Linked DNA regions of Tamandua tetradactyla. The protein of the gene in region 1 purifies or fractionates together with the protein of each later gene. This does not show direct contact. Links are inferred from orthologs where the notes say so. Each region holds a gene or a part of one and is shown in the gene's direction. Other genes may lie near its edges.

Region 1 (10,307 bases):
TATCTTTTGCCATTTACTTGAGCTAACTCTTATTAGCTCTAAGTTAATCCTTTTTATCCTGCTCCTTGGTGCTAGGGCTGGCACTCTGTAAACTGCTTTTCCCAGACTCGGGTGAGGGTTGCCTTCCTGGTAGGTTCTACTAATGGGAGGGGCAGGAGAGACTTATGACCAGCTTCTAGAACATATCCCATCCCCACCCCCACCCCACCAGGCTCCAGCTTCTTTCAGCATTCCTACTCTCACCATGCCTTGTCCCCACAGAAGCATCAGCACCAACCAACCACACCTTCCTTGGTGGTCTGGCATGAGTCCAGCAGTATATCCCCAGACGTCTGAGCACTGTCTGGGTAGAGTTCCTCTACCATGGGACCAAGCACCAGCTGTCACACACCCTGGTGACCGCACTTCTTTGCTCCTGTCCCCTGTTCTAGGTATGGGAGCTGCTTCCTGCAGCTACTAATATCAGCCCAAGGGATACAGGAAGCAGTTATAAATACCTGGATTACCTCATTGTCCCCTCTTTCATCCTTCTAACATCTATGCAACCAATTCTCTGTATTATATCCACTCTATTGGAAATACTTAGCACAGCTTCTGCTTTCCTGAGTGTTGAAGCTTTTATACAATTACAAACAAAAGTTTGTAAACTGTTTTATATCTTATTTTTTTCTCTCCAACTACAAAGGTCATGTTCCTGATTCAGGAGAATCTGTGGTTGAATTTAGGACATAGGGATGGGGGTAGATAGGGTTATGTGAATAACAGAATTCTTTGGTGACAAGCAATGAATGGACTCAGGCTAATCTGGGTAAAAAGAGAACTATGGAAAGCCACTTTAAAAAAAAAAAAAGAATCTATGGAAGAATATGGGAAGCCCACGGAATCAAAGGTAGAGATGTGGGAGGGGTGGGACCAGAGCACAGCCAGGTAGCTAGGAAGCAGGAATCAATGGGCTGCCCTCTGAGGGTGCTTCACCAGCATGAATCTACAGAATCCACATCCCAGGAAGGGCATGGCTTTCAGGCCCCTGTGGTCACAAGCCTACCTTACTGGTTGGTAGTCAGCAGGACATACCAAGTGACAGACCCACCAAAATGTGTCCAATTGAGGAAGAATAGATCATGGAAAAGAAATTTAGCAGGCTATTCCCTACTGAAGGAAGAATGGATGATGGTCAGCAATTACAAATTACAAATTTGTGCTACAAGGAACTTCAGATGAAATCATCAGTTGTAAATTAAAACGCATTATACACTAAAACTTTGAATAAAAGAATTATGTAAAAAAAAAAGAATTATGTGCTTGGGGTGGAATGTTCAGGGAAATCTTTCTAAAAGAAGTTTCTACAGGTGAAGCCTTCCCATCACTGCTTATGGATTGGGACAAGCCCAGGAGGAGTTTTTTTTAATCACTGTTTTTTTCATTTGACAAATATTTATTTACTACGCCCCACTGATTCTAAGCCCCAGTGACTATGGTCTAGGTCATTTCCTCTATGCAATGTCACCAAAGCAGAGCTAGTGTTACTTAACATTAACAGGGTAAATTGGCCTTTTAAAAATCTAGAAAGACACCCTACAAAGGTTAAATATTAACATACTTATAAATATAAAACAATTACTTCACTTCACCTAATAAAATACAATAGTAAATGAAAACAAAGCGTAAGTTCAAACAATTATAGTACATTTTCTATTATAATATTTTTCCTTTAACTCCTCACACAATTGCGTTAAAAGATATTTTAAGAGAAACTACTTAGTATTGTGTCACACTAGGGCAATTCTTTTTATTTTTCTGTATTACTCCTTTGTCATTTATTTATATATTTTTTCTAAAATGTGTGGGGTTGTTTTCTGTTTATAGGAGTAATGTGTGACCATTAGAGAAAAGTTTTAAAATAGAGCAATATATGGAGAATAAAATACCCATCAACCATTAATACCAGTACCAAGAGACAATGGTTGTCAGTATCTTAGTGTATTTTCTTCAGCTCCTGATGATTCGGATGAAAACAATTTGGCCAAAAGCAAAACTAGTATTCTTTATGTTCCCCTTTTGCTTTATAATTTCCTGCTCTTTCTGTAATGTGCTTTGCTTTTATACTAAAACAAATAATAAAGAAACAAGATCTCTGTCTTATTCATCCCCTTTATCTCCATATCCAGCACATTTCTTGGAACTCCAAAAATATTTTCTGGAAGGCTAAGATTTTCACTCTAAACTAGTGAGATGGAGTTGTTAATAAACACAGCATTACACTACAGCTATGCATGGGTATAACTTCTCTCTTCTTTTAGTGAACGGTTCATTCTATTAATACGTGATCAATTCTCAAAAATTTTGCTTTCTTACTATAAGACTGATCAGATTCAAACTCCAATCCAATATCCACTAGCAATGTGACAACAAAGATCTGCCCTCAAATCTACATTCTAGTGAGAAAGCCATGATCAAACATTTGTCAGATGGTATGACAAAACAAGTGCTAGGGAAAAATAATAGACTGAAGGGGACAGAAGATGACTTCAGGTGGGGGGTACATGTGGGGGATCAGAGATGGCATAAGATTTCAAAATATACTAGTGCAGTAATTTTTGAAAATCTCAAGTTGTGACTAAGTGCGATCATGAAATCAATTTAGAGGATGAGCTGCATAGTTTTAAAAAAATGAAATATAAAGATACAGAGCCCATCACATATATTAAAGGTAAGCACTGTTTTGTGCTTGTTCCAGTTAACTCACACAGGTACTAGTCTGTAAAGCACTGCCTGGCATGGAGAAAGGCGTGATTAACTTCTGAACTTTGAAGGAAAGAGTCTTAGAGAAGGGTACCTCTCTCGGTTAGGATAGTCACACCTTGTGCCTGCACCTGTTCATGTCTTACTCAATTACATAACGGACTTAGCTGGGTGCAACAGAGACAAAAAGACAATGCAGTAAAAGAGGGAAAAAATATCAGGATCAGAGCTAAGAGGTAGGGGAGAAAGGCAAAACAAAACTAAACAGTTAAGCAGTTCAAGAGAGAGAACTGTTTTCACATTTTTCCAGGCAAAAAGTACCCCATAGGAAAAACACCAAAAAAAAAAAAAAAAGCGAGAAATAGGATTGACAGATTTAACAACAAAAACAAAAATCACCAAAATCCAAAGCTAATCATATATGCTATACATGATAAGTGCATGACACTCGTAAATATTTTTAGAAACTTCCCTAATATCTGTTCCATACTCCCTGCTCCTATTCTCCTGCTATCAAGATTTTAAAGCCATACAGTTTGGAAAGGTTTCTCTTTTTTTCAGCCCTTTAAACATTTAATACATTTTGAAAATCATGCCTACCCATCAGGAATGACTAAATTATATTAATGAGAGACTGGAAATCGTCTGCCAAGCCTTCCCTGGCCCTGCAAAGGACGGGGTTCCCACTGAAGCAGGGCTGTGATACAGGACTGTTCTAGAACAAAACCAGCAAACTACAGTTCGCTGCCTCGTTTTCCTATGGTCCATGAGCTAAGAATGACTTTTACATACTTTTTAATGGTCGGGAAAACAAACCAAAAGAAGGAGAATATGTTGTGGCACATGAAAATTATATAAGGGTGCACCAGCGGTTCAGTGGTAGAATGCTCCTGCCATACGGGAAACCAGATTCAATTTCCAACCGATGCATGCCAAAAAAGGTTATATGAGATTCACACTTTAAAATATGGTGAAAATGGCAAATTTTATATTATATACACGTGATACCACAATGTAATTTTTAATTACATTTAATTCAAATTTCGGAGTCTATAAAGCTTTATTGGAACACAGCCAGGTTCATCCATATTGTCAAAGGCTGCTTCAATGTTAAAAGGGCGGCAGAGTTGAACAGTCAACCGCAAGGCCTAAAATATTTACTACCTGGCCCTTTATAAAAAAAAAGTTTGCAGATCGTGTTCCTAGAATACAAGGGCCGTACTGCTTAATCACCCTTCCAATCCTCTTCCCTCTCTAGCCACCACTCCAGCTTTAGTCAAGAACAAGATTGCTGTGCCTGCCATGGAGGGAGGGCGTTATAATAATGAATTGTATCGAAACTTGAGACATAAGACTATAACTTTCTATATAAGGCCATATGAGTGGTTCTGCCACCAATTAGAGTAACTTCTGGGTTCGTTTCCCGATCAGAAAAGTGTGCATCACAGCAGCAGCTGCACCATTTCGTTTGAACATCACCATGGTCACTTGCGTGCAGGCACTTGGAAACGTATCAAGGCAACAAGTGTTCCGAGGGTGTTTTTGCAAGGCGGAGCGTCTCTCCGAGTCTGGATATAGACTGCGCTGCCCTCTGCAAGTCTGCACCTCCGTCGCTCCCCGCCCGCTCCCCTCTACGTCCAGCCCTCCTTTCAGTCTCTCACTTCCCCTTTCGGCCCCGCAGCCCGCTGGCTCCACACCCACCTCCCTCCCCCTTTCCTCAGAGCCTACCAAGTTGCCCGGGAGCACCGGGTTTAGGTAAAACCGGCCCGGGTCAGCCCGGCCCAGCACTGTCCAGTCAGGATGGTGGGTTGCCCTGGGACCCCTGCAGGTGGTAAGAATGACTCAGCAGGGCCCAGGCCTGGGCCCGAGACGCGAACGACCCAGCCCGGGGCCCAAGTCCCTTGCACTACGAAAAGGCCGCAAACCATCATTTGTTCTGGGCCCAAATACCCCAACAAACGGAAATTTAATTCGAGTCCGTTTCCGACCGCTGTGGCACCAGAGTCAGGCTGTCTAGGCCCCCACAGGCCGCACGTTTAAATTAACAGGGCGGGCACGGCGACTACTACAGCCAGAAAATGCCTGGGGCCTCTTCAAAAGGTCCCCTTCGACTCCCACAAACCGCACCCCACCCCCACCCCGGGCCGACCTCGCCCGCCAGAGGGGGCGGCGCGCCGGCCCCGGGAAAGGCCAGCGTCTGCTTGGAGGAGAACCTTTAGGGGTGCACTCAATCGCATGCCCGGGACTACCAGGGAAACGCACTAATTTCTTGAGAATTGAAAACAATTCCTAAAACTCTGGCCCACAGTCCCCGGCTTGCTCCCGCCCCCAAAGATTTCGCCCGGCTAGGCGGCGGCAGCCTCCCTGCCCCCTCTCCCTTCCCCCCACCACCTCGTTTCAGACAACCACGCCCCGCAGCCCCAGGGCTCACCGCCCCGGGGCCGCCAGCCCCCGCGCAGCTGGGCACGCCGCGCCTCCATTCGCCCCGCCCCCGCGCGTCCCCATCCACCCCCGCGGCCGGCCCTGGGAGCGCCAGGCGAGACCTTGCGCCTGCGCGTCGCCAACTTCCTGCCGCGGACCTCCCCGCCCACCCCCAGAGTCCCGCCCCCGAAAGCCGCGTGAAACCCGCCCGCCTCACGCCATTGGGCGAGGCGCAGGAGCCGTTGGCTCCCAGGCCCGCCTCCCCACCGCCTCTCACTTTTCCCAGGCGGATGCGCCTGCGCCCAGCAGCCTGGGCGGGCTGAGAGGCGCGGGTTGAAAAGTCTCGTTCCAAGTTTGGAGAGAGAGAAGCGCAGCACAGACCTCGGTACCCGCGAGAGGGGAGGAGGCAGGAAAGAAGGACGCGGCATCTGGGGGAGCACGCAGGCAGCAACGGAGCTCAGGCTTCGGCAGCTAGAAGTGCGTGACGCTGCTGGGAAAGGCAGGAGCGCCTGCGGTTGGGCTGCTCTCGACTAGCGAGGGGAGTCCGAGGCGGCGGCGAGGGGCGAACGACCCGACGCAAGATGGCGAGTAAAGAGAGTAAGAGGCCCTGCGGGGCGGCGCGCGCCGGGGCTGCGGGGGGCGGCGGGCGCGCGAGGCCGCGGCACGCGCCGGCGAAAGGCGCGAATTGGCGTGCGGAGCAGGGGGCGGGGCCGGGCGCCAGGTTGGGCGCGCGCCTCGAGGGGCCTGCGCGGGACGCGGCCGCGGCGCGGAGGGTTCCGAGCACTTCCGGAGCCGGGCGCGGGGCCCAGGATTGGGCCCCCGGCGGCTGCGCTCTCTTGGGCGCTCCCGGCATTGGGGCGGAGGCGGCCGCCACCGGGCAGCGGGGACGGCGGTTCTCTCCGCACGCGCGCGTCCACCGCCTTAGGGTCGCGGCCTCGGCCGCGGGGCCTCTGGAGCCGCTTGGCCTATGGCTGCCCGCGCGGGTATCGTGGGGCCTCTCCTGGTGGGGGATGAAGGGAGGGGGCTGATGGTTTTCTGCTACGTGTAGATCTGTCTCCGAGTGGGTTATAGGGATCCTCTAGATCCACACAATCCATCTCCTTAGAGCAGGTGCGAACAGCTGTAAAGGACAAAACAATTCCTAAAATCAGAGGCGGTTTGGCGTCCCTGTTACTATCCTATTCTGTTTGCGCAGGAGATATTGAGCTCAAAGTGCAAAAAATAAGCTTTCTGGCATTAATATTCTGTCCACGTTCTGGGGGAGCAGTTTTTTGCCTCTAAAGTAAAGATAAAGGGATAGATGAGAGGTGTGGCCATCTCGAGGTGACCTCTCCAGTACCTGTGTACAGTTTCTGACTTCGGTCTCTCAGCCACTTAATCGTATGAGCTTTCTCCAAATTTCAGTGTTCGAAGATACTGTGGAGGAGCGTGTCATCAACGAAGAATATAAAATCTGGAAGAAGAATACACCATTTCTATATGACCTGGTTATGACCCATGCTCTTCAGTGGCCGAGTCTTACCGTACAGTGGCTTCCTGAAGTGACTAAGTAAGGGTTTCTGGCAACTTTTATTTTGCAGAAATTGAAGTGTCGACCTGAATTTCTTAGCGTTCTATACCTAGAATGTAAGCTCGTAATCATTAGCCCTTGGATGAGGTGGTAGGTGGTTTTTATTTTTAAAGTTGAAGTGACTTATGGGATGAATTCTGATGTATACGCGTGGCATTAAAGGGGGAGAAAGGCTCCTTTGTGAGAATAATGATGTTTTTAGGAAACACTGAATATATTGAATGGTCTTGGGCTGAGATATAGAGCAGCATCTCTCGGGGCCCTGGACTACTGCATTTCTTTCAAACTTTATTGAAAGCATGCACACAGAAGATGCACAAATTGTAAATGTAATTTTTTTTGATGAATTTTTACAAAAAGAACACGCCCATGTAGCTGGCACTCAGGATAAACAGTTTTGATTGGCAAAGGGAAAAAGTTTGGCAACGGTTTCCTGAAGAAAGGCTGTTATTGTCTTAAAATATAGAATATACTTTGAGATTGCTGTTAGTTTTCATTAGAGTGTTCTTTTTAGCTAGTCCTAAAATTTCTCTGGTAATAATTGCTGACATTTATTGAATGCTTAGAACAGGATCTGGCACATCTGAGAAGTTTTACGTCCTGTTATTTGGTTTAATCCTCACAAGGGTACTACAGTGCATAGGTGCTTTTATTATCCTGTTTTGCTGATGAGGAAACTGAGGCTGAAAGGTTAAAAAACATGCCCAGGATCACCTACCTGATAAGAAGTGGGCTTAAGAACACAGACCTGATGGCTCCAGAGTTCAGACAACCTCTGCACTAGCCTGCCTACCTTTCTCATGTGCTTGCCCTTTTCCTAGCAGAAACTTGACTGTAGACTTTAAAGGTGTATTAATTTTGGGTATCATGAGTACATAATTTAATGGGGGTTAAATCAAATAATCTATAAAGTGAATTTTTGTGATAAGTTATAAAAATAATTTTAAAGTTGTTTTATGTTCTATTTTATAAATTATTACTTATTTTATAAAATTATAGTTTTGTGAAAGATTAACTTATTTTGCAATGGCCAGATTCTCCGTGTGCAAACGTTTGATTCCACACAGATAGGGTCTCCGTTGGTGTTCCTAAATGTCTGAGTGTAAATGTACAGATACAGGAAAGGTAGCCAAGAACTAGTAATGAAGACTTCCGAACACGGGCATTTTGTAACTACCTTTGATAGATTTCTAAAATAGATTGAGCGTCATATGCTTAAGGGTATTTAGATTCTGGTTTGAAGCATCTTGTGCATTTGACTCTGTCTTCCTGTTAAGCAAATTCAAAACTTTTCCACAACTTAACGTACCTTACCTTGCATCTTTTTGACCTGTAATATTGTAGAAAAAGCCGGGGGCTTTCAGTTTAGAGACCTGGGTTTGAAGATTGCCCCTATTTGTGACCTAGGGCGAGTTCAGACTCTATCTCCACATAGTCTGGACTGTAAATGGAGATGCTGGTAGTATTGACCGCCTACACTTGAGGGAATTAAATAAGATCATCCATATTGAAGTCCTGGTGCATAGTAAGCACCCAGTAAACCTGTTGTGGTAGCTGATGCTGATTTTCCCATTCCTTCCCCTTTGTTAGACAGGGTGGAAATAGTTCTGTGTTTCTCCGTTTGAATTTCTGTGGTAGTGACTAACTAAAATCCATTTTAAGCATTGCCAGCAATGATGTTTTGCTTATAGGTTTTAAAGATAAACCTATATGTTCCTCTTGGGTTGGACAGATTACTTTTATATTCACACTTAAGAACTTACCAGAAAATGCTTTAACTAAATTACATATTCTGTGGTGTTCTTCACATACAAAGAGGTTGTGGGATCTGGTTGTGGGAAGTGCAGTGGCTCTGGGAATGCAAGAAAATGCCAGCCAGCCTGCTTGCATTCTTGGATGTTGAAGACTGCTCTGTGGTGCTTTTAGCAGGGTTCTGTCTGGGATACGAAGGGAATATGATTGTGTTTTATCACTAACAAAACGGTAAAAATGTTGGCTATGTTTCTTACTGCCTGAGACCTTTAGCCCTCTCGTAGGTCTTTCTTCTTCTGCCTACATACAACATGTTTTCTATTACTTGAACTTTCTGAGTTGGTATCCTTAAATTCATTTAGGTAATTGTCCACATAGTTGATTTGGCTTTTTAAAGGTTTTATTTTTTAAAGTTCATAGATCATTATTTCATATCTTGTTAAGTAACTTCTTAATAAATGTATTGAGACTTAACTTAGTTTCTACCTAAAGAGCTTTTGCAGTCTATCAAAGTACGCAAGTATATAGAGTGAAGAATAAATCTCCCTTCCACGTCCCCTATTTTCCCAGCTCCCTTCCCCAGGGCAGGGACACTCATTTTCAATTTCTTAGCCATCTTGCCAGCATATAGAAGTGCGTATTTATCTCTTTTCCACCTTTTTTTGTGGTAACAGGTTGTTCATGTGACTTTTCATTAAGAGTGTATATTGGAGCCTTTTTCCTATCAGCATGCTTAAATAGGCTTCATTCTTTTCAAGGGCTTCATAGAATTCTATATGTCATCAGTTCCTTAGTGATGGGTATTTAGGTTGTTTTCAGTCTTTTGTGACTGTGAACAGTGCTGCTGAGGATAATCTTGTAATAAGACACATTTCTGTGATTGTGAGGTAAATTTCCTAGCAGTAGAGTGACTAGATCAAAGGATTCTGACACTGAAGAAGGGGACAGGCTCTTTTACCATTAGTACTTCTGCAGCCTTTAGGTACATCCAGTGTTAGAGGAAAAGAGTTTCCTTTTGATTATTTTAGAAAGTAGGCTTGTGTTTTGATGATGAAGTGAAAGGATTTGTAGTCAAAAGAGCAGTCCTTGTATGATTATCAAGTTGGGAAACTGGAGTAGTGGAATTTTATTAGAGCCAAGAAGAATTTTTTAAGATGCTTTGTTGTCCCAAGTCCATCTCCATCTTAGGACAGTGCCCCTTAAAAAGTTCCTGTGATGAACTGATGTGTCAAACTGTAACTTTTCCCTTTTGTTTTTACTTTACTGCTTAAACCCAATAAAAAACAAGTCGCTTCCTTCCATTTATATCAGTCCTAATATTGCTCTGTGGTGCCTCCTTTCTCTCCAGCATCTCTGTTCTTCTCAACTGTTTCTCATGTGGTATGTTTAAGTTCCCTTTCATTTCAAACTCTGCTTTTTCATCTAATCCCTCCTAAAGTACATTACCTAGAGCCTCATTTGTAAGTGGTTTTACCAGTTAGAAATGCACACATGCATGCGCTCTCTCACACTCTCAAGACCATCTAAGGTGAATTACCTTTTTTGATATATAATCCCCTCAGCATCCATCAACTAAGACCCTTGTCTTTACAAACAAGTTGCTATTGCTTAATTAACCATGGCTGCCTTATTTTGTTCTTTGTTCTGTGCACATTTGTTGTTCTTTTTACCTTAAGCCATATCTTAGCTTGGTTAACTTTTGTCTTATGTTTTTCAGTTATTGCTAAATTTTGTGCTTACAAGTAACATCCAAACCTTTTTTAAAAAAACCACTGGATCCTTTGTACAACTGAAATTTAGAGATAGATAGATTATGGCCCTT
Region 2 (10,013 bases), on another chromosome or scaffold:
AACTCAACAACAAAAAGACAGCCAATCCAATTACAAAATGGGAAAAAGACTTGAACAGACACTTCTCAGAAGAGAAAATACAAATGGCCAAAAGGCACATGAAGAGATGCTCAACATCCCTGGCCATTAGAGAAATGCAAATCAAAACCACAATGAGATATCATTCCACACCCACCAGAATGGCCATTATCAACAAAACAGAAAATGACAAGTGCTGGAGAGGATGCGGAGAAAGAGGCACACTTATTCACTGTTGGTGGGAATGTCAAATGGTGCAACCACTGCGGAAGGCAGTTTGGCGGTTCCTCAAAAAGCTGAATATAGAATTGCCATATGACCCAGCAATACCATTGCTAGGTATCTACTCAAAGGACTTAAGGGCAAAGACACAAACGGACATTTGCACACCAATGTTTATAGCAGCATTATTACAATTGCAAGGAGATGGAAACAGCCAAAATGTCCATCAACAGACAAGTGGCTAAACAAACTGTGGTATATACATACGATGGAATATTATGCAGCTTTAAGACAGAACAAACTTATGAAGTATGTAACAACATGGATGGACCTAGAGAACATTATGGTGAGTGAGACTAGCCAAAAACTAAAGGACAAATACTGTATGGTCTCACTGATACAAACTGACATTAGTGAATAAACTTGGAATATGTTGTTGGTAACAGAGTCCAGCAGGAGTTAGAAACAGGATAAGATAATGGGTAATTGGAGCTGAAGGGATACAGACTGTGCAACAGGACTAGATACAAAAACTCAAAAATGGACAGCACAATAATACCTAATCGTAAAGTAATCATGTTAAAACACTGAATGAAGCTGCATCTGAGCTATAGGTTTTTTTTTTTTTTTACTATTATTATCACTTTTATTTTTTTTCTCTATATTAACATTCTATATCTTTTTCTGTTGTGTTGCTAGTTCTTCTAAACTGATGCAAATGTACTAAGAAATGGTGATCATGCATCTTTGTGATGATGTTAAGAATTACTGATTGCATATGTAGAATGGTATGATTTCTAAATGTTGGGTTAATTTCTTTTTTTCCATTAATTAATAAAAAAAATTGCAATAGAGCATAATAAATGTTTTATCAGAATCTTATAAAGTATAATGGTGACCAAAGGTGTGTTAGGGATGGTAAAAAAAAACCTCAGAAATGGACAGCACAATACTACCTAACTGCAATGTAATTATGTTAAAACACTGAATGAAGCTGCATGTGAGAATGATAGAGGGAGGAGGGCTGGGGACATAAATGAAATCAGAAAGAAAGATAGATGGTAAAGATCGAGATGGTATAATCTAGGAATGCCTAGAGTGTATAATAATAGTGAAATGTACTATGTACAAACTTTAAAAATGTTTTTGCATGAGGAAGAACAAAGGAATGTCATTATTGTAGTGTGCTGAAAACAGATGATAATTAATACTTTAAAATGTCACCTTCTGTGTGAGACTAAAGCAAAAAAATGTTTATTTGTTACAAAATTTATATTTTGACTAGAGCATTTCCTAATATAACTCATGTAGATAGTTTGATTGAATGTCGTAAGAACTTGGAATCTGAGGTAGGACATGAGATTTTGTTGGTTTGCCCAGAGTGATGCCCCAATGAATCCCAGAGTGATTTGATCAGTGACTGGAAAAGTATTTGCAAGCCCCCTTCGGGGAATGGTGAGAACTGGGGAAAACTCAACTTCCCCAAGTTGAATTCTTGATATTCTCACAAGCAGTGTGGACAACCAAAGCTATAGGCTGAGCCCCCAGTCTTGGGGTTTGTTCATATGAAACTTAACCCCACAAAGGATAGGTCAAGTCTACTTAAAATTTAGGCCTAAGAGTCACCCCCAAGAGAGCCTCTTTTGTTGCTCAGATGTGGCCTCTCTCTCCAGCCAACATGATGAGCAGTCTCACCACCCTCCCCCTGTCTGCGTGGGACATGACTCCCAGGGGTGTGGACCTTCCTGGCAACGTGGGACAGAGATCCTGGAATGAGCTGAGACTCAACATCAAGGGATTGAGAAAAACCCTAGAATGAGCTGAGAATTAGCATCAAGAGATTGAGAGAACCTTCTCGACCAAAGGGGGAAGAGTGAAATGAGACTAAGTGTCAATGGCTGAGATTCCAAACAGAGTCGAGAGGTTATTCTGCAGGTTATTCTTATGCATTAAGTAGATAGATATCACCTTGTTGTTCAAGATGTAGCAGAGAGACTGGAGGGAACCGCCTGAAAATGTAGAGCTGTGTTCCAGGAGCCATGTTTCTTGATGATGATTGAACAATGATATAGCTTTCACAATGAGACTCTGTGAATGTGAAAACCTTGTGTCTGATGCTCCTTTTAGCTACTATATCAACAGAAGAGTAGAACATATGGAATAAAAATAAATAATAGGGGGAACAAATGTTAAAATAAATTTAGTTTGAAATGCTAGTGGTAAATGAAAGCAAGGGGTAAGGGATATGGTATGTATAATCTTTTTTTTCTTTATTATCGTTTTATTTCTTTTTCTGTTGTCTTTTTATTTCTTTTTCTAAATCGATGCAAATGTTCTAAGAAATGATGAATATGCAACTATGTGATAATATTAAGAATTACTGATTGTATATGTAGAATGGAATGGTATCTTAATGTTTTGTTTGTTAATTTTTTTTAATTAATAAAAAAAAGTTAAAAAAAAAAAAAGATGTAATGGAGAGGCTGGAGGGAACTGCCTGAAAATGTAGATCTGTGTTCCAGTAGCCATGTTTCTTGAAGATGATTGTATAATGCTATAGCTTTCACATTGTGACTGTGTGATTGTGAAAACCTTGTGTCTGATGCTCCTTTTATCTACCTTATGGACAGAGGAGTAAAATATATGGATTAAAAATAAATGAATAATAGGGGGAACAAATTTAAAATAGATTTAGTAGGATGAAATACTAGTGATCAATGAAAGGGAGGGGTAAGGGATATGGTACGTATGAATTTTTTTTCTATTTTCTTCTTCTGGATTCATGCAAACATTCTAAGAAATGATCATGATGATGAATATATATATATATATTTTTTTAAAGTGCAGTTCTACCAGCTAAAGGTCAACCCCCAAAGCCCTAAATTATCCCTAGGATTCTGCTCCCACTCCACTCAGCATCCACCCCCTGCACCTCCTCTCTCCCTCCCTCTCTGCAGTCCAGGAGTGCTGGCCTTTTTGTCTGTTGTAGAACGTGCTGTGCTTCCCCTCCCACCCCAGGGCTCTTGCACAGCCGTTCAATCGGACTTTTCTCAGGGTTAACACCTAGCACCCTTCAGCTCTCAACGGGAGCCCCGCCTCCTGGGGGAAGCCTTCTCCATCTTCTGCTAAACTGGAGTAAGTCCCCCGGGAGGCAGAGAGCATTTTCCAAGACCTGTCATGGCAGCATTTCCCACCTCGCATGCTGTTCCAGACCCTGGCACTGCCCAGTTGTGGGGCCCATCTGCCCTCCTCTCGAAGTGGGGCGGGACCCCATAACTGCCTCTCTGGAAAGGACGCGGTGCAGAAGCCTGTGCATGACTTCCGAGGGCACGAAGGCTGGGGCGCTCCAACCTGGCTGTCTCAGGACACCTGCTCTCGGAACCCAGCTGCACACAGCGTCTCCTCTCTGACCGAGAAGTGACCACTCCCCTGACCCCCACCCCCTCTGCCAGCCCTCCTGCAACTCCCGGAAGCACACAGCCCACCCTGAGGGCATCTTACGTTGAGAAAAAAGCATATCCCCAGATGTTTTCCCAAAATGTGCCCGCAAGCCCCTGGCCGTCAGCATGCTTAGGGCCCTGGGCCTTTTTAATCTAAAGAGTGGGTCCATAGGTGCCGACATACCAGAGCGAACTTTTTGCCATCATGCTGTCTGTCCCAAGGTAGCTGCAGCTTTCTGGAAGTTTCCTAATAAATGCCTAAGGACCAGTCGTCCTGGTGTCCAGTCCTTCTTTCTTCGGAAGCTCAACAGGCCCACTGTGGGGTGGTTTGGGGCAGTCCCAACTGGGTGTCCCCCTCTTTCTTTCTCGATGACTCCTGCTGTTGGTTCAGCGGATGCAACACCATTTCGTCGGGAGACTCCAGCTGCATGGGGAAAGGGAGGTGTCCATGCGATTGTCCCAGGGAAGACCTCACACAGCAGCAAATACCAGGCTTGGGAGAGAGCAAAGCCTCCCAGATGTGGAGGATGAAGAGCTGAGCTCTCCCCTCCCCACCTGCCCCAAGCTGTAGTTTTGTGCATAACATAAGGCTTTAAGCCTTCAAGTCTTGAGTGTGCTTTGTTACTTGGAAATAGTGACTGGAATACTCTGTTACCTCCTCTTGGAAGCATTTGTTACAGTTAAGCCTTTACATCACATGTGTCTGCACAGAAACAATTGTTTGTATAATTCCTATATATCTATCCTAAAAGGCAGAGAGCTCTGGAAGGGCAGAACCAGCTCAGTTTTTTTTTTTAATCATTATTCCATTCCTGATGCCTTACACAGAGCCTGGCACATGATGCCATCATTTCATATTTAGTCTCAGCTTCCCTGCCCATCTTCACATATGAAAAACAAGATGCCACGTGGTCATGAGTTGAATGTTCACTCACTCGATCAGTGCTCGCTGATGTGACCATGTCAGGCAACTGTTTTAGAGATGAAGCATAAAACAAAAATGACATGCCTGGGACTATGAGAATAAAAGGCAGGGTCTGAGAAGCTTCCCAAGGGAGGGGACATTTGAGATGGGTTTTGAAGGATGTGTAGGAGTTTTCTCAGCAACGAGGACACAAAATAGGGACCATGGAGGAGGACATGGCATGTCCTGATATATGGGGGTAGGAAGCAGCCAAGCTGGTTAGGAGTAAGTTGGATGTTCTTCCCTCATAGAGAGCACTTGGCTTGGGTGGGAAATCCTGCCAGGAAAGGTGGGCGGGGGACCAGTTTCTGGTGGTCTTCAACGCTGCGTGAGGCTGCTGAGATTTAATCTCCTAAGACACAGGAAGACCCTGGATGTCTGGAAGCAGAGGTTTAGGAGCGTCTCTTGATGGAGATGGAGGTGAGAAAACTGGGGAAGAGGCTGCTGCCTCAGCTCTGCCTTCCTGGCCCAGCTCTGCCACCTGAGCGCAGAAGCAGCCACAGATTCAGGTGGAAACCCACGTGCGGAGACACTGAATTGTGAATTTCACAGCATTTTCGCGCAACACGAAATGCTCTTCTTTTGTGGATTTCCCCCCACCCCCAACTTTTTAAAACCGCACCGACCACTCCGACAGCGCTCGGTGGCCGGAGAGGTTATGAGCTTGCTCACCTGTTGTAAAAGCTTCACAGAGAGGCCCCGCCCCGAGGAAACCCCGCCCACGCCGAGGAAACCCCGCCCCTCCCGGCCCCACCCCGGGGCGGGGCCCGCGCATGCGCCGCTGGCGGCCGGGCGGGAGGGGCGGGGCGGGCCGCGGCTCCGACTTCCAACATGGCGCACGCTGGCGGCGGCGGCGGCGGCCCCGCGGGTCGGGGGCTTGGGGGCGCCCGCTGGGGCCGCTCGGGTTCCGCGGGCCACGAGAAGCTGCCAGTGCACGTGAGTGGCGCCCCGCCCTCCGCTGGGGACCCAGGTCCTCCCGTCTCCTCCGGTCTCCTCGGGCCGCCCCCCCTCAGGCCCGCGCCCCCCACCCGGCCCCGCCCGGCCCGGGCGCCGCCTCGGCCTCCCCAGACCCCGGCCCCCGCACCCCGGCCCCGACCCTCACCTCCACCGCCCTGCGGGTCCCCGGCCCCCGCTCCGCTGACCCGGGCCCGCCGGGACCCTCCCCCTCCCTGCAGGTGGAGGATGCCCTCACCTACCTGGACCAGGTGAAGATCCGCTTCGGCAGCGACCCTGCCACCTACAACGGCTTCCTGGAGATCATGAAGGAGTTCAAGAGCCAGAGGTGCCCGCGGGGTCCCTTCCTCCTCCCTGGGGGGCCTCCCCTGGGCTGCCCTGCTCTCCCCGAGTGCCGGGTGACCTTGTGCAGGTTGCTGATCCTCTCTGAACCTCAGTGTCGTCTTCTAAAAAATGGGAGTGGGTGGTCCCCACCCCGTGGAGCTGTTAAGGGGATTCCTGGAGGCAGGGCTGCCATTAGGGTGAGGCCAGCAGGGCAAGGGGGGTGGGGGTGGAATCCTGCCTGTTGAGAATGCTGATCTTTAATAGATTCAGCTGATCCAGGAACCCAGGAACTGCTTGCAGTAATTCAGAATCTTGTACAGTATCAAATTAAAATGTTATTTATTCTGAGGTTCTTGGCGATCCCTCCCCTCCACCATAAATTTTGCCCCTGGGGGTGAGGCTGTCGCTGGGCTTCGCCCTAGGCCCGGCCCTGCTTGGAAGCAATGGGGGTAAAATGCTTACTAAGGGACCTGGCACGCAGAAAGCATTTAAAAACACGAGTTGTTTTTGTAGGCACAGAATCAAGAGAGTTAGGGACAGTTGGGGAAGCACAGGACCAGGCGTTTGATTTACAGAAGGCTGGACTGGAACTCAGACCCTCCCACCCATGAATTCTCCCTTGTCTCCTTCCCACCCTGCTGCTCCCCAGTCTCGGGAAACACGGCAGGGCTCTCTTTCTGTGACTGAAGGAGGGCCCATCTCTCCCCTCACGTGCCTGTGCAGTCCTGATATCTACAGGGCCCCCGGTGTTTATACACTGCAGCAAATCGCATGGGCTCGAGACTATCCCACGTCACGTTTGATCCCAAATTCATCCTGTTGTGTGGAGGGCTTTGGCTCCTGCCACTCCTTCGCATCCAGGACTTGCAAGCTCGCTCTCCTGGCCATTTCAGATGCACATGCCCAGGCTCAGAGTGTTTGGGGGAGCAGCCTCATGTCCTGTTGGGGTTCTTCAGGGTCCTCACGGGATGAGCATACAGAGCCAGGCCAGGCTGCCCTGGAAATAGATCATTGCCTATGGAATCTTGCCAGCCGCCAAGACACTCTAGGTGGCCTTGCTGTTGATGATAAGCCGGTGCCGTGGCACTGTCTGGAGACAGCGTAGGGGAGCTTGTGATTTGCTCCCTGGGACCCTTTTGGCCACACGCATCCGTCTTTGTTGTAGCATCGACACTCCTGGTGTCATCCGGCGCGTCTCGCAGCTGTTTCACGAACACCCTGACCTCATCGTGGGATTCAATGCCTTCCTACCCCTCGGCTACAGAATCGACATTCCCAAGAATGGCAAACTAAACGTCCAGTCGCCGCTGACCAGCCAGGTATGCCACTATAGGGGCGTGAGGGGCCATGCGGTGCTGGATGGCGGGCCTGTGCCCCTGTCATCTGGCTGCCTGAAAGGCGCTGGGGCTCCGTCCTTCCCCAAGGTGTGCCGGCTGCTTCCATCCCAAATCAGAATAGATGGCAGCTCCCACCCGGGCAGCAACTGCACCCCAAACGGAGCAGTTGGGAGGACTGAAATCAGGGGTGGAAACATTTGTGTGCGTCAGGGAGGTGATTTTCTAACGCAGAATTTTACTTTTAGTCCAAATAACGGCTTCAGCAGCCGCCACTGCCTCGGTTTAAGACTGAGCCTGGAGTGTCCCTGACAGATCCTTCCAAGTCCCCAGACTTGCCCCTGTCCACCCTGGAAGCTCTCGGTGCCTCCAGTGAAACCCCGTTTTTACGATGAGTGCCTAAATGGCAGTTTTTATTGTTGCCGTGTTTCTTTAATACCTGTTGGGGTTGCTGGCTCAGGTCAGCCTCTCCCACCCCCAGGGTCATGGCTTCAGCTCCCTCCTTCTCTGGTGACAGGTTGCTGTCTCCCTGCAGTCCCTTGTTGTCTGAGCTTACAAGGCCCTCTGAGCCAAAGAAAGCCTATTTGAGCTTTACATTTAGAAGGTAATCATTGAATTTTTCCCAGCACTATTGCCCTTTGGAGCAGTTTGTTGCCGTGGAGGTAGGGTTGGCTGGCCGGTGCCTTGTGGGGTTTTTAAGCAGCGCCCCAGCCTCTACACACTGTATCCTCCAGCTGTTGCAACTGAAACTGCCCCCAGATGCAACCGAGTGACCCTTGGGGACAAAATTGTCCCTGGTTTGAGAACAACTAGTCTTAATGTACTCCTCTGGTCCCTGCCCCCAGGATTTCCGTAGAAAAGGTAAAAATCTGCGCAGGAGGCTCTGGGTAGGTTTCTCCTTTGATGGCAGAGTCACATGAATTAGGGAGTCGGGATCTGGAAAAAGAACTGCGAGAGGCGATGTGGCCGCGGTTGCCCTCTCTCCAGGGGTGGGTTGCACGTCAAGTCCCCATTTGCTGTCTGCCCAGCAAGCTCCCCATCAGCGTGCTGTCTCATTAAAGCTGAAAAGTGCATCTCAGTCTTAGAAACTCGGAAGTCTGGTGGTTGCTGCACGAAGAAGCCCTTCCATTCCATGCTTGCAAATGGATGCAAACGCAGGGCTCATGCCTGCAGTCGCTAAGAGCCTTGGCGGTGCCCAGACGTCGGGGAATGGATGTGAGAGCACTTCACGGAGGCTGAAGCACCTGTGAACATCGGGTGTAGTTAGCATTTGCTGAGAAAGAGCTGGAGTCGCAAGCCCCTAATTGCACTCGGCACATGGAAATTGCTTTTCAGCGACCCCTGACTGTTGGAGTAACTCTGGGGGCTGGGTCTTGGCGTGGAAAGAACTGGTGGGTTCTGAGACGATGCTTCCCTCAGGAGTTGCAGAGTCCCTGCTGCGCCGATGGTGGAAGCTGCCATGCATGTGACAGAGCCGGCTGCCACCCCGTCTCACCCTGCTTGGCTTGGGTGCCAGCGGTCTGTGGCCTTGCAGAAGGCTTTTAAGACCCTTTACTTCACAGCTACTAGACAAGGTTTTACCCTCTGCAGCCTGGAAGCAGCCGTTTCCAGGGCTTCATGTCTTGGTTGGAAAGATGCTTTGAATCCCGCTGTCTCAGTGGGTGTCGATGGATACAATCTGATTTCCAGGCTCTGCTTCCCAGCAGCCCATGTCATCCTCGGCATGCCTTCACTGTAGGGACGAGCGGGGTGACATTTGGGGTCCTGGGAACCCTTTGCAAGGTCCTCATAGCCTGAGGACCTCTTAATCTGCCCTAATGCAAAACCCTCAGGGTGATTTATTTATTGGTTTTTCTCACTTCACCATTTGGAAGTACAGCTTTTTTTTTCATATGTGTAATTTTCCCATTTCTTCATAAATCTCGTCCCCCTCAGACAAGAGTGGCTGCTAGACACCAGGGGTGCTAGTGAGAGAGGCCCAGGCTTTGGGGAGCCTTTGGGCAGGGCTCTGAGCTGCGGTGCTGCTGCCACGTGGGGCCAAGTGTTCTCTGAGGGGGGTGGGGGTGGGGGGGATGGCTTGCAGATGTTGGCCTGTGTCCCAGGCGGGGGGCAGGCTGGCGCAGGTGTAAGCATGCTGCCTGTCTCTTAACAGGAGGGTAGACAGGTGTGGGCCACGATGAGGGGTGCAGGGGAGCCAGCCCCATTTGGGATCTGCTCATCTGGCTTCAATTACAGTGTTGCCTCCTTGGGGAGCCCCTACTGTACCCCCTGGTCAGTCCCAGCCCACCCTGCTCTATATATTCCAGAATAGCTAAGCTGGAATGAGAACGTCAGGCCCATGCTGCTTGTGCTTTGCTTAGGGACTGCGCGTGCTTGAGGTTGGGCCGGCCCCTCCCTGTATTGTCCTCGGCCGTGTCCCCGTTCCCCCAACAGTGCCCGAAGCGTACCGTGTGTTTGCGAAACAGGGACCAGGGAAGGCCCGTGGAAGCTGGCAGAGGGGACAAACAGCCTGGCCCAGGGAGGTGGCAAGGCAGGAGATCCTTGGACTGCTGAAAACGAGAACCCTGGGCTGCTCCTAGGACACCAGGACAGCTGTGAGAGGCGTGGTAGTTCCTGGAACCCACAGGCCTGGCTCTGGAAGGTGTTGCGGGCGCGTCTGCTGGGCGCCCCAGGAGCCACGTGTGATCGCTTGGCTTCTGGCTGCCTGTGGGACGTACCGGCACTCCGGTGCTCACACCCCCAGGCCGAGGAGAGAAA

What was found.
Region 2: the proteins of RBBP7 (region 1) and SIN3B purify together in Homo sapiens (affinity purification with mass spectrometry; 5 studies listed by BioGRID and IntAct, counting the BioPlex papers as one, with this or other methods). This does not show direct contact. The link is inferred for Tamandua tetradactyla from reciprocal best matches to the Homo sapiens genes RBBP7 and SIN3B.

Annotation. Positions count from the first base shown.
Region 1 is NC_135353.1:158,095,987-158,106,293, forward strand, and holds the start of RBBP7 (histone-binding protein RBBP7), read left to right. Parts: upstream 1-6,530; 5' UTR 6,531-6,545; coding exon 6,546-6,712; intron 6,713-10,307. UniProt on the Homo sapiens protein: Core histone-binding subunit that may target chromatin remodeling factors, histone acetyltransferases and histone deacetylases to their histone substrates in a manner that is regulated by nucleosomal DNA.
Region 2 is NC_135337.1:95,277,263-95,287,275, forward strand, and holds the start of SIN3B (paired amphipathic helix protein Sin3b), read left to right. Parts: upstream 1-5,475; coding exon 5,476-5,580; intron 5,581-5,819; coding exon 5,820-5,926; intron 5,927-7,087; coding exon 7,088-7,241; intron 7,242-10,013.